Linked DNA regions of Drosophila melanogaster. The protein of the gene in region 2 interacts with the protein of the main gene of each other region in a pairwise test. Each region holds a gene or a part of one and is shown on either strand. Other genes may lie near its edges.

Region 1 (7,210 bases), on a different chromosome or scaffold from region 2:
GGTCTGAGAGTAATGCTGGGTGATGGTGACACGGGGGGAGAGATTCCGGGAGATCGTGAGGGACTTCTGGTCAGTGGTGAGGGTGCATCAAAGACCTCTGGTCTTGGAGTCAGTGAAAGCAGAAGTTGAGTTGGCATCTGGACCTGGGGTTGAGTAGTGTCTGGAGTTGGTGGAGATACTCTCAGCTCCGGAGAAGCCTTCAAGCTGAGTAGCCTCTTGGGATGCAGTTGCTCCTTTGCTTTTATGGGCTGTGCCACCGTAGCATTACTGGCTTGGCTGCTGCTACTACTTTGTACGGAAACGGAGGAGGCACCGCTGAGTATGTTATCCAAAAGGGATTCAGGCGAAGTAGAGCTACCTCCTCCAGCCAAGCTGCTAGTGGGCTCACTGCCACTGTCCCTATCCTGCACACCGAGTTCGACATTGGATAGCCCTGTACCTGATGACCCTGCACCCTGGGCACTATTCGACAAACCCAAAGTCCTAGATCTTCGGATGGAGCTCTTTGGTGCCAAACCCGGTAGCTTTGGCACTGAGGGTAGATGTATTTTCGAAGTCACTTCGCTCTTTGGGGCAATAGTAAAGGTAAAAAGTTGTGGTGCTGATTTGCGACGCACTGCGTCTGGTAAGGGAGCGGTCTGCAGATTATTCTGCGAAGTCTGTGCGTTTTTTCGTAAGGAAATTTTGGCAGAACTCAACTTTATCTTAAGTTTCCCTAAGGATGCACTGGGTGGCACAGCTGGAGTAGGAGGTGGGCTCGGAACAACTATTTCCACATCCCCTCGGATGCGTTCGTAATCCGTTAACTGGCCACTCTTGTTTCCGTTACTCGTTTTTCGCTTGAAAGCGATTTTCGAGCGATTTTCCCTGCTCATGCTTCCCGGTTATGCAATCCTGCAGCTCGGACTACGGATTCCAGGCAATCTGGAGCACCACCGCGTGTTCCCGTTGCAATTGGGACTGAAACTGAGACTGGGTCTCGGACTTGGTTGCTGCCTAATCCAATTACATTCCTCATTGGAAACCCACGGCGCACTGCGAGTGCGAATGGTGGCAAAAGTCTGACACTGACAATTGTGCAATTATCTGTTGTGGTTGCTCATTCTAAATAGTTCTTTCATGACAACCTGTCACTTGCTATTGATTGACTTTCTGATTTTCTGAATCCAGAGAGTATTTCGTGGTATGATGGGTGGGAGAAGATCCAACGGAGTAACCAAAGGAACGTCTCAACTTCCGAGTACCCCGCTAAACCCGTGAAGTGAAACTCTAGATGGACCCGATGTCGGTAGTGAATCAATTATTTTTTCATTTACCACCAAAAGGGAGTGTTCAAATTACTTCTATTTTTAAATGTGGCAATGGTAAACTTAGGTGTGTAGTTTACTACACGTTACTTGAGCAATTGATAGTGAATATATAATAATTTCAATATTACAGAAAACCCATAATGTCATATTAATACTAATAACCTTTTAACATATGTGTTTTTAAAATTGTTCGAATAATAGCGGATAACAACAGTTGAGTATTTTTTCATCTGAATGCAACTAGCTGCTCCAAACTTCCGTTAATAGCTCCATTAGCTGATCGAATGGCCAAGTAACCACTTACATTGACATAATACATTGTGAGGATTACAAAAGCAACGAAGCTTTCTCTCCCACCTAATCTTGCCAAAGCCCCCACACATTTACAACACTCGCTCTTTTACTCTCTCTATACGCAATGGCAAGATAAATGGTTGGGAGAGGGAGCTTTTCGAGCGCAGTATTAAGGGGTATATTATGTTCATGTTACAAATAATACTTTTATCCAGAAAATATCAGTTGTATTCCCAATACTTGAGTCATTTATACATTTAGTTTTATTTATACATTTTATTTTTATTCTGTTCCGTTGTTCCTATGTTAAATATGAGGTAATGGGTATACTTTGATCGGTACTCTCCATTCTAGCTGTCCCACTTGTTTTTGTCGAGCAGCTGGCCTAGTGGCTTTTATTTTCGACCCGCTCGCAGACATCAGTTGCAGTTCGGAAGCGGAATCGGTTGATGTTGTTGCTCCGATTCGGACGTGGAATATTTCGCTTTTGTACACTCGTATTTTCGACTTCAAAGAATCGGGCAAAAGCGCACAGAACAGACCTGAAAAACTTTTCCGTGCGTTTCCGAGTTTTGTTTTAATGTGTTCCATGTGATTAACTTTGTACGTTTATAGAACCCTTTTTTAAAAACCAATGGAAATACACGGAATCCGTTGACCCTTTTTGCCACAAGAAAATTTTCATTACGTTTCGCAGAATTTGTTGGTAGTTTGCTCTTTCTGGCCGTTTATCGTGCGTTGCTTTGCTGTTGATTTTCGTGAGGGACGCGCAATTTTCCATTCACCTCCGCTGCTCCAGTTACGGAAGCCACCCCCACCATTGTAAAGCCTAGCGTTTGCCGGTCCCCAACAATATGGAAGCGGTACGTATTTTGCACATTTCGCCGGTTCCAAACATTAAGAGCTATTTAGGAACTTTGGAGCGGGGGACACGGCATTTGGGTTACAAAGTCCAAGTCCAGGGCGATAATGCTGCTGCTGCTCGAGATATTGCGTAAAAGGTTGAAGTCTCTTCTCTGAGATTCGATCGGCTCCGATTGATCATCCAGTCAATGAACCTAAATGGCAGACGAAAAATTAGTATTTTATGCTAAACACCGTCTGCATCATTAGATAGGAACTAAGAAAGTAAAAGAAAATTGGGAGTATTAAAAATATATTAATTTTGCTAATAACAAAAGATTCATAATCTAGAAAACCAAAGCTGGATAATGTCAAAGTCACCAGAACGAGTTATCTTGCCAAATATGCATTTGATAATAACGCGAAATCATATTAATAAAATGTTTTGTAATTTTGAAGCGATTGCTAAACATGTTAAATAAATAATACATGGGGAAAAGGGTTAAAGTCTCTAGTCCGTAGAGATTGATGAATAATAAGCAGGCACCTGCTGATAAGACCTGGTTCCCATAACTTCACATGGACATGGACATTGTGGTTGTAGGGACTTAAGTACCACTTTTAATAATATGATTAAGCCATGGCATTTTGGACGAGCGAAACAAACTGTTTAAAAGCAGATAAAAATGTATTGTGGAGTAATACATAAATAAACAAAGCGAGATAATTGTAATTAGCATGTATTTGCTAACTTTTTATACCTAGCTTTTAAGAAAATCTCTTACCGTACACAGTTGGTACTTTAAAAGCAAGAGTCTCATTTTCATTTTATGACCCATTTAAGACAAACTACAGCAATTACAAGTATATTGGCCACAGACCCAGACGTGCGATGATTATATGAATTCTGAGTTCATTTCGCACACTTGTTCTTACAAAAGAAACAAATTAAGTTTCTGAACTTTAAAACCACCTGATAGAGATTGTCACTGCCAAGGAGAATCACAACAAACTTTAAACTAAATCATATAAAGATCATAAACTGACCCAAAATTAACTCTTTTTCTTAGGTGGCAAAGAAGGGCATGGAGAACTACAGATTTGGCAGTGTGGACTATGCCGTTTTCCTGGGCATGATCGTATTATCCACCAGCACGGGCATCTATTTCGGGTGCATCAAGTGAGTGACCTTTAAACAAATCCTCGGAATATTGCCAAACAATTGTTGTAATTACAGGAAGAGCAAGGTGAAGCTCGAGGAGGCGGAACCCACTCTGCCGACGACCACGCCAAAAAGGCGGAAACACGATTTCGGATCGGAGAAGATGAGCGAGTATCTGCTAGGGTCACGCAATCTGAAAGTTTTCCCCGTTGCCATGAGCCTGATAGCCAGGTAGAGTTGGCGATGCGATCCCGCACCTCCAAATATGCCTGTACAATCTGTTCCCTTTTATTTCCAGCTATATATCGGGCGTTACCATACTGGGCACAACCTCTGAGATCTACAATTATGGCACGCAATATTGGTTTATAGCCATAGCAATAATGCTCCAAGGTATTGCCGTCTCCTACGTCTACATACCAGTGTTCTCGGCTCTTCAAGTAGGCTCTTCCTATGAGGTACGATACTCGTAAATTCTATAAACTGATTTATACATTTACAATCTAATGGGTCAATAAGCTTATGCTAACAGTAAAAGTAATAACGTCCAGAACGCAACCAAAAATGTAAATTGGGTTTTAACGGAAATATTAATTTAGCTATAAAATACTCACCATTTCTTTCAATGACGAGTTAGTTAAAATAAAGATAGACAAGTTCATCTGTAGTGGTTGCTGATAAGAATGACAAACTTTCTAAGATGTTTCCGTCTTCCCCCTTTCGCTCCGTCACTTTTGTCCAATCAATGAACGGAGGACGTAGTGAACACTTTAATTAACTGGGAATCGGAGACCACCCTCCCCTCAAGTGGAATTTCTTGGACTTTGCACTCGCCCACTTGTTGCGACTTTTTTCTGGGTTCCAGCGGTTCGATATGATTAATTGCAATGTGGTTTTCTGCCACTTGACAATTGTGTCGAGCAATTAGTTTTCGTTTTCGGTCTTTATGACGTTAGTTTTCGAATCCTAAACGCAAGTCATTTGAATTATGAAATATAATATTGCTTTCAGTACTTGGAGATGCGCTTTCATTCGGTCGTACGAAGTATTGCATCCTTTATGTTTATTCTGGATGAGGTAAGTCAAAGATAATATTTGGACTGCAATGTTGTAATAATTGTCGATCCAATTTTAGATTCTGTTTCTGCCTTTCATTGTGTATGTACCAGCTATAGCTCTGAATCAGGGTAAGCCGCATTTGTTAATTGTTTGAAACACAACTTTAATCTTTCGATAATCTTGCAGTATCGGGCATTAATCTCCATGTGATTGCAGTGGTAATTGTGGTCGTGTGTGTTTTCTACACCTTTGTCGTAAGTTTTAGAGAGTTTCATACGTATGTTTTTATACTAATGGCGCCTATTTTCAGGGAGGAATCAAAGCAGTGGTCCACACAGATGCTTGGCAGGTGCTGGTCATGTTCCTTTCCGTTCTTGCTGTGGCTATTTTGGCCACTGTCTATGCAAATGGCTTGAATGTCCTTTTCGATGATGCTGCCAAAGGTGGCCGATTGATCTTTAACAATACAAACCCATCGCCTTATGTAAGGCACACTGTTTGGAGCGTCCTAATCGGGGGATTCTCCTACTGGACCTCATTCAATGCCGTCAACCAGACCATGGTCCAGCGATACATGTCTCTTCCATCGCTCAAGAAGGCTCGTGCTTCCATGGCCATTTTTACAATTGGCGTGGCTGCCTTCGTCTCTGTTTGTTGTTATGTGGGACTGCTAATCTATGAGATGTACAAAGATTGTGATCCTCTGAGTGCGGGACTAATAACAGTGAGTAAATAATAAATTGTTTTTGAACTTTACTTACGTTTATTTCCTTGCAGCACGACGATCAGCTACTGCCGCTCTTTGTCGTTCAGAGTGTGGGTCATATCTATGGTATGTCTGGTTTGTTTATAGCCGGCATATTTGGAGCTGCCTTGAGCTCCCTTTCTGTGGTTCTGAACTCAACGTCCTTGGTAATCCTGGAGGATATAGTTCGCGGCTGCTTCAAGATGCAACCAAGTGAAAGAGCCTCCACCATTCTGGTAAAGTCAACTGTTATAGTTCTTGGCTTTGTGGCCCTATCACTGGTATTTGTCCTGGAACAACTGAGTGGAATCCTGAGCATTTGCACTTCAATGACGGCCATCGCAGCTGGAACCACTTTTGGCCTGTTTACCCTGGGAATGCTCGTTCCCTGGGCCAATACTGTAGGCACTGCTGTGGGCGGAATTGCAAGTGCTCTGCTCGCCGGGTGGATATCCTTTGGAACGCAGTTTACCATCGCAGCGGGTGAATTGAATTCTCAAAAGCTTCCCGTATCCGTGGAGGGATGTGTGGGCAATGTAACGCTTCGGGAAAATATATGGGTAGATGAGGAGCAAGTTTTTCCACTGTACCGACTGTCCTACCACTGGATAAATCCCATTGGTGTGGCCACAGTCATTGTGGTAGGTGCACTAGTCTCCCTTGTGACCAAACCCACAAATATGAAAACACTAGATCCGGATCTAATATCACCAGTGATTCACAGGTAATTTTTGTAACCACATGTTTAACCTCTGTTATTAAACCCATTTTTTCTTCTAGATTCCTTCCAAAAGAATGCTTTAGTGGTCGCAATCTCCATGCGCAGGCGCACAAAAACCTCTTAAACGTATCCTAAAATAGACGAACCAGAACTTCCTGTGCCAAACTAATGGAATTGATGGCATTGAATTCCACACCCTGTTTTGTTAGCATAGTTTGTAGTTGTAGTTGCTTTGTGGTAGTTACCTTATAGATAGCCTAGTCTAGTACAATGTGATCCAGATATTGGAAGACATAAACCGAAGTACAGGAACCTATGAATCTGCATCTCAGAATACAGAGTGCACAATCATTAACGTTATATAGTAAATGTATTATAATATAGCTTTATTTAATTGTTCTGTTTGTATCCGTTCTTTACTTTCCAGCCTTTGTTCAAGCATTATTTTTTTGGCATTTTCGATTTGTAGTCAGCAGACTGTGTCTCATTATGTATTCCGTTTGACTTTACAAGCATAATGTCTGTGATAAATTCAATAAATAGATCATACATACTATCCGAATTTTGTACACCTAGAATATAGTTAAGCGGTTGCAAAGCAGCAGGAATGATATGACCTCTGTCTGGATCTGGATCTGGGATCTGAGTCTGGAATCTGGCGTATCTAGTCTAAACTAAGCCCCAATCAGGCGTAAATCACAAAAGAGGATATGCCTTGTATAGGCATGCTTATACATACTAATTAACCTTCCGATGATCTACAGCCGACGACTGTCTTCTGCTTTGGATGCACTTTCGTAGCTGGAACCCGATGACAATTAGGCAAAGAATGCCAGCACTCAGATAGCTATTGAAGACAAACTGCTGTGGCAGCATTTTGCACTTGGAAACCACATAGTCATCGGGGGTTATAGTGGCCTAAAAGTTATGGCATGTTAGTACAAGTTCGAAGGGCTAACAATCGTAAGAGCAAATATAATACTCACCAGCATAAAGCTGGGATTAACTTTGTTTCGCCAGCTGAATGAGGCCACCGTGTACTCATCGATGCCCAGTCGATTTACACTGTGACAGAA
Region 2 (4,665 bases):
GTGTGCGGCTGACACAAATCGAAAGGCAACAACTTGGCCCGAAGGGTTGGTGGCCAAGTTTTCTGGGTCAGCGTGTGGGAAATCTTTAATCAGAAACTGTTTAATGCAAGGGTTTTTCCCCCACTTATTCCGGGATAAACAAGTTGGGAACAGGGTGTGCGTGGGCACACATCTTGTTTAACTTAAGTGACAATGAAAGGTCAAAGTTTACGCATGCTTAAAAGGAGACTCAATAGTTAAACCAACTCAAAAGGGTTTGTGCCATACATCGTTCTGTGTGTTGATTTTACTTAGGAAAACAAAGGATCGAAAGATGTTTTCTTAAAAAAAAAACATTTTCTTACGCAAAATAATCTTAAATGCTTTCAACCGCTCTTATTCGATTTTACTTCAGCTCGTTTATCATAACTCTATGTTCAATTTTAATATAAACTTCTTAAACTCTTTACTTTAAAGTTGTTTTCAGCATTGTTTTAAAACGTGAGTTATTTCTCGTATTCAATTGCAAATGTCAAGCCAGCAGCATCCCAACAATATGTTAGCCAATTTATTATCCCATCAGCCGCAAAAGCCATTAAAGCAGCGGGTATAAAAGCAAAGACACAGATGCTTTAGATGGGGTAGAATGTTTTCAGTGTATAATCTATAAATTGTAGATAAAGATATTGCAATTCAGACACATGGGATACAATGTAAAAGCATCAAAATAAATCTCCCTGTTACGTTAAAGCCATATTCATTGGATTCGGGGTCGGACTCCTCACGATTTTCTCCTACTTCTTGCTACTGCTGCTCTGCTGGATGACAGCGCAAATTTTATCAAATGCCGATTCCAGACTGTCTATGAACACCTTCCCATCGGCCTGGTTTTTGTACGTGGTGACAATGGCGCCGGCAAAATCGTTCTGAATCGAATAGCTGAAAGAATAATGGGTTATCAACTGTCAGCTAGTGAACAATTTGTCGAGGCAACTTGAAAAATAGGTGCTGCATTTGTACATTCAAATACCCAATCTCGACAGGCAGTCAGCTTACCCGATTCCGAAGCCATTCTTGACCACCGGACCAAAGGAACCCGCTAGCAGGGCATCTGAACCCAGTGTTGAGGTACTAATGATGTTGTTATTAATGCGCTTGTAAGCCTCAGTCTCATAGAGATCGGGAATTGGTATTCCCTCCTTTTGGGCCGTGTGCCGAAGGGCAAAGAGATGCCGATCGAAGCCCTGGCCCATAGCCGCCTCCTTGGTTAACTGGCCATGCACCTTGCTGCAATTGTCGATCATTGCTCGTAGTTCTCCGGCGCTGGGCTTGCTCCTCTCCGGCTGGAGGATAGCTTCACAGAAGTCCCGTGTGGCATTTGTGCACGGTCGCATCGTTTCGGTACGTCCGTGTCGGAAGGCGGATGTGCTGCAGGATTCGTAGCTGCCCACATAGCCGCTGTAGGCTTGGCGATAAGCCAGCTGGAAGGACAGCTGAATGATGGAGTCCGGACTTAGGCCATACTGCTTGCATGTGGGCTTGTTGATGTGTGGGTACTTCAGCACATTCATGTCCAGATTATCTACAATGCTGGCGTTTTTATTATAAGCCTCCGAAACGGCCGACTTGGTGGCATCGTCGATTTCGAAGTTGATGGGCCGCACGTTGCTAAAATCGCCTTCGGCGGGAGTGTGCACTGTCTCCGTGGATACAAACGGCTGCTTCAAAGTATCCTTGTAGAGCTCGTTAAAGTAGCGAAGCACAGCCACTCCATCGCCCCACGAGTGCTCGAAGTTAATAGCCGTTGTTCCATCTGCACTTATAAGCAGGGAAATGGATTTGTCGAACCAACTGTAACAGAACAGGATGATTTTGTGAATCAGGCAGGCTTTACATAATGTCGACTTCTTACCGATTCTGCGCTTTTCCCGCCAGCAAATGCTTGAGCAGCGGCTCCTGCTGGTTTTCGTTAAAGACTCCATCTTCTTCGCCATCCAGACAAACGCAGAACAGAGCCGCATCCACCTCTCTCTCCAGAAGATCGGCATTTTTGGTGTTGCTAACAAAATGCTGTCTTGTCTTGGCCCACTCATCACGCTGTCCGGAGGTCAGAACACCAAGTGGCACGCTGGCTGCCTCGCGATCTGCATCAAGCTTAAGCACAGCCCTTAGTCTGCCCAGAATCACACTGGGACTCTCGATGTATCCACTGGAGTCCAGCACATTTACGGCGTACATGTGACCGCGGCGCATAACCAGAATGTGCTTGGCGTCCGGTGACTGGACCAGCTCGTCCTTGCCGATCCTAGGAATCCTAGAGGTGCCAAACAACCGGTTGTACTGGCTCATGTCCAGCGGAAAGGCCTTGAAGGCATAAGACGCGTAGGTGGCAAAGGCTTTGGGAGCCACCTTCATCCACCTGCGGTAGCTGGAAGTGTCGCTCTTCTTGGCGTTCATGTGGTACACCTCCGGCTCCAGGAGATCCGCCTGCAGAGATCGCCAGAACCGTAACGAGCTGATGATCAGGTTGGTAGCCCTAACCACCTGTTGCTGGTACTCCGGTCGCGCGTCGCTTTTCATCACCAGCAGCGGATTATAGTTGAGTGGCAGGGGCGCTCGATCGGCTAGATACATGTCGAACCAGGGCTGCGAGATGTAGCTGGTATGCTTGTTCTCTGCATCATGGCTCTTGAGTTTCGCGTGTAGTTCCATGCCGATCCCCTGGCGAAACTGTTCCACCGTTTGCTGGGTCTGCGCCTGCTCCGCCGGCGAGAGTAGTGGCTTGGTGGCCTCCAGGAAACGCCGACAGCTGTTCTCCAACAGAGGAATGGGCAATCGCGGCAAGGAGCGCTGAAAGTACAGCGTTGGCAGCTTGGAACATTGCAGGTATTGGTAGTGCTGGCCATGAGTGGTCGTTGTCCTCGACGAGTTCGTCGATATCCACGACAGATTGCGGTGCACCCGGGTCCGAAACATGGCTATCCACTCGATGGCTTTCCAAATTGAGTAACTTTTGTTGTTTAAACTCGAGAGGCGACGTTTCAAAGTCCACAACAGAAAGTCCAACAACAAGATGAAAATTCGCGAGCCAGATCAGCTGTTCGCCATTGATGATCACAGCTGATCGCCGTCATCGATAGTTACCTTACGGTATTTTTGGTATTTTTCAGTACCTGTAATGGCGCCAAAATATTTGAATATCGTATATGTTTGAAATTTACGATAAATAGATCTTTGCGGATTTTATTATTATTATGTATAACTGTACTATATTATATGGGTTAAAATTCATGTTTAATATCTTTTGTAAATTTTTTATATTTATAGCACTATAAATTGAATTTGCAATAATCAGATTCCAATCGCATGCCGGGCACGAAATTTTGAATTGTCATGATTTTATTGAATTACCATAACGACGATAATGAGAAATGAAATTACCACTCAAAATCAGCGCTGCTCTTCGCGGTCAAACATTTCGCTTTCACGGCTCGAGTTTCACATTTGGCTGACCTTATGGCTAACATTTAACATTTGAGGTCCGTGCTCGCAAAGGAAAGGGCTTGCGGATCTCCCTGAACTCCGCATAATTTCGCACTTTGCCCCGAAGGACTACGTTTCCGTATCCCTTTTCCGCATTTAATGCGCTTCGCTTTTGCACTTTCGCTGGCTTGTTAAATATTAACGCAATTTCACTTCGCCCAATTACACTGCAACCCATCCGCATCCTCATCCGCTTTCGCCGATGCCTCTTATGCAAATTTAAATGGAAAAGGGGATTCCCCTACTCACTTTACTTAATTTGAGGAATTGAGGGGCAGTGGATTTTATTCCGCAAGCGTCGACTGCAAAGTGCACAGATGAATCGATGGGAAGGAACGCTCGTGAAATTCGACAAAGTATAAAAATTTTATGCGCATTTTCATTTCTTTCTTAGCCCCGTAATTTAAGTAAACCATTTGTGTTTTTTCCGACTTACCTGGGAACAGTGACCGGTTGGAATACCCGCAGGAGCCTTTGACCCACCACGTCTGCAAGATGTCCTGACCCCTCCGAAGATCTGTTTCTTCCCCGGGAAACCCTCGTCGTCCAAGCTCCAAGCTCCTCGACCAGCAGACATCAACAGCGGGCAAACAAATAAACGCCACGCAAATGCAAACAAAACGCTGTTTATCCACGGACCAAAATCGCCAGGATGCCATTGCCAAAAAGGTGAAAGGACGCTTAAGCACTTGAGCGCCTCCGAATCGAACAAATCGATGGGTAATTGCTTTGCCATTGCCCCGCGCATTTTAAAGACCAACTGCGACTTTAAATAACTGGTGGGATAAAGGACTTCAATTGGAAAGAAAAATAAATAAATAAAATTAAATGAAATATGTTGCATACTAGCACAGATTGAATTAATGTTTTTGATATAAAATGTAAACACAAAGTTAGATTTAAAGGCGCTCTTTTGTGACATATTTTTTCCACTTTTTTCGCCGTTAATAACAAAATCTATTCAAGGACCCTTGAATGTGTTTAAAAAGCATACAATCTCGACACTCATTAACAACCAACGGTAGTATAAAATTTCAACTGTCGCCGCCAGATGCGAAAACACATAAAAAACCTCTAAAAAATCCTTTTCTTTTCTGTGCGCAGAAATCAACATTTGTTTCCAGAGTCCTTTGCCGGACAATA

What was found. The genes of interacting proteins can lie anywhere in the genome.
Region 1: the proteins of CPT2 (region 2) and SLC5A11 interact in a two-hybrid assay, tested with the Drosophila melanogaster proteins (one large-scale study listed by BioGRID).

Annotation. Positions count from the first base shown.
Region 1 is NT_033779.5:8,199,944-8,207,153, reverse strand, and holds SLC5A11 (Sodium/solute co-transporter-like 5A11), read left to right. Parts: upstream 1-2,021; 5' UTR 2,022-2,458; coding exon 2,459-2,467; exon of another isoform or gene 2,468-2,662; intron 2,663-3,517; coding exon 3,518-3,627; intron 3,628-3,684; coding exon 3,685-3,840; intron 3,841-3,907; coding exon 3,908-4,067; intron 4,068-4,223; exon of another isoform or gene 4,224-4,620; coding exon 4,621-4,686; exon of another isoform or gene 4,687-4,744; coding exon 4,745-4,796; exon of another isoform or gene 4,797-4,854; coding exon 4,855-4,922; exon of another isoform or gene 4,923-4,978; coding exon 4,979-5,392; intron 5,393-5,429; exon of another isoform or gene 5,430-5,445; coding exon 5,446-6,137; intron 6,138-6,193; coding exon 6,194-6,269; 3' UTR 6,270-6,689; downstream 6,690-7,210. Other genes in the region: CG8419 (uncharacterized protein), read right to left, coding at 1-875; PGAP5 (Post-GPI attachment to proteins 5), read right to left, coding at 6,799-6,808, 6,874-7,052, 7,121-7,210.
Region 2 is NT_037436.4:2,979,413-2,984,077, reverse strand, and holds CPT2 (carnitine palmitoyltransferase 2), read right to left. Parts: upstream 3,057-4,665; 5' UTR 2,956-3,056; coding exon 1,892-2,955; intron 1,831-1,891; coding exon 1,036-1,830; intron 919-1,035; coding exon 774-918; 3' UTR 527-773; downstream 1-526.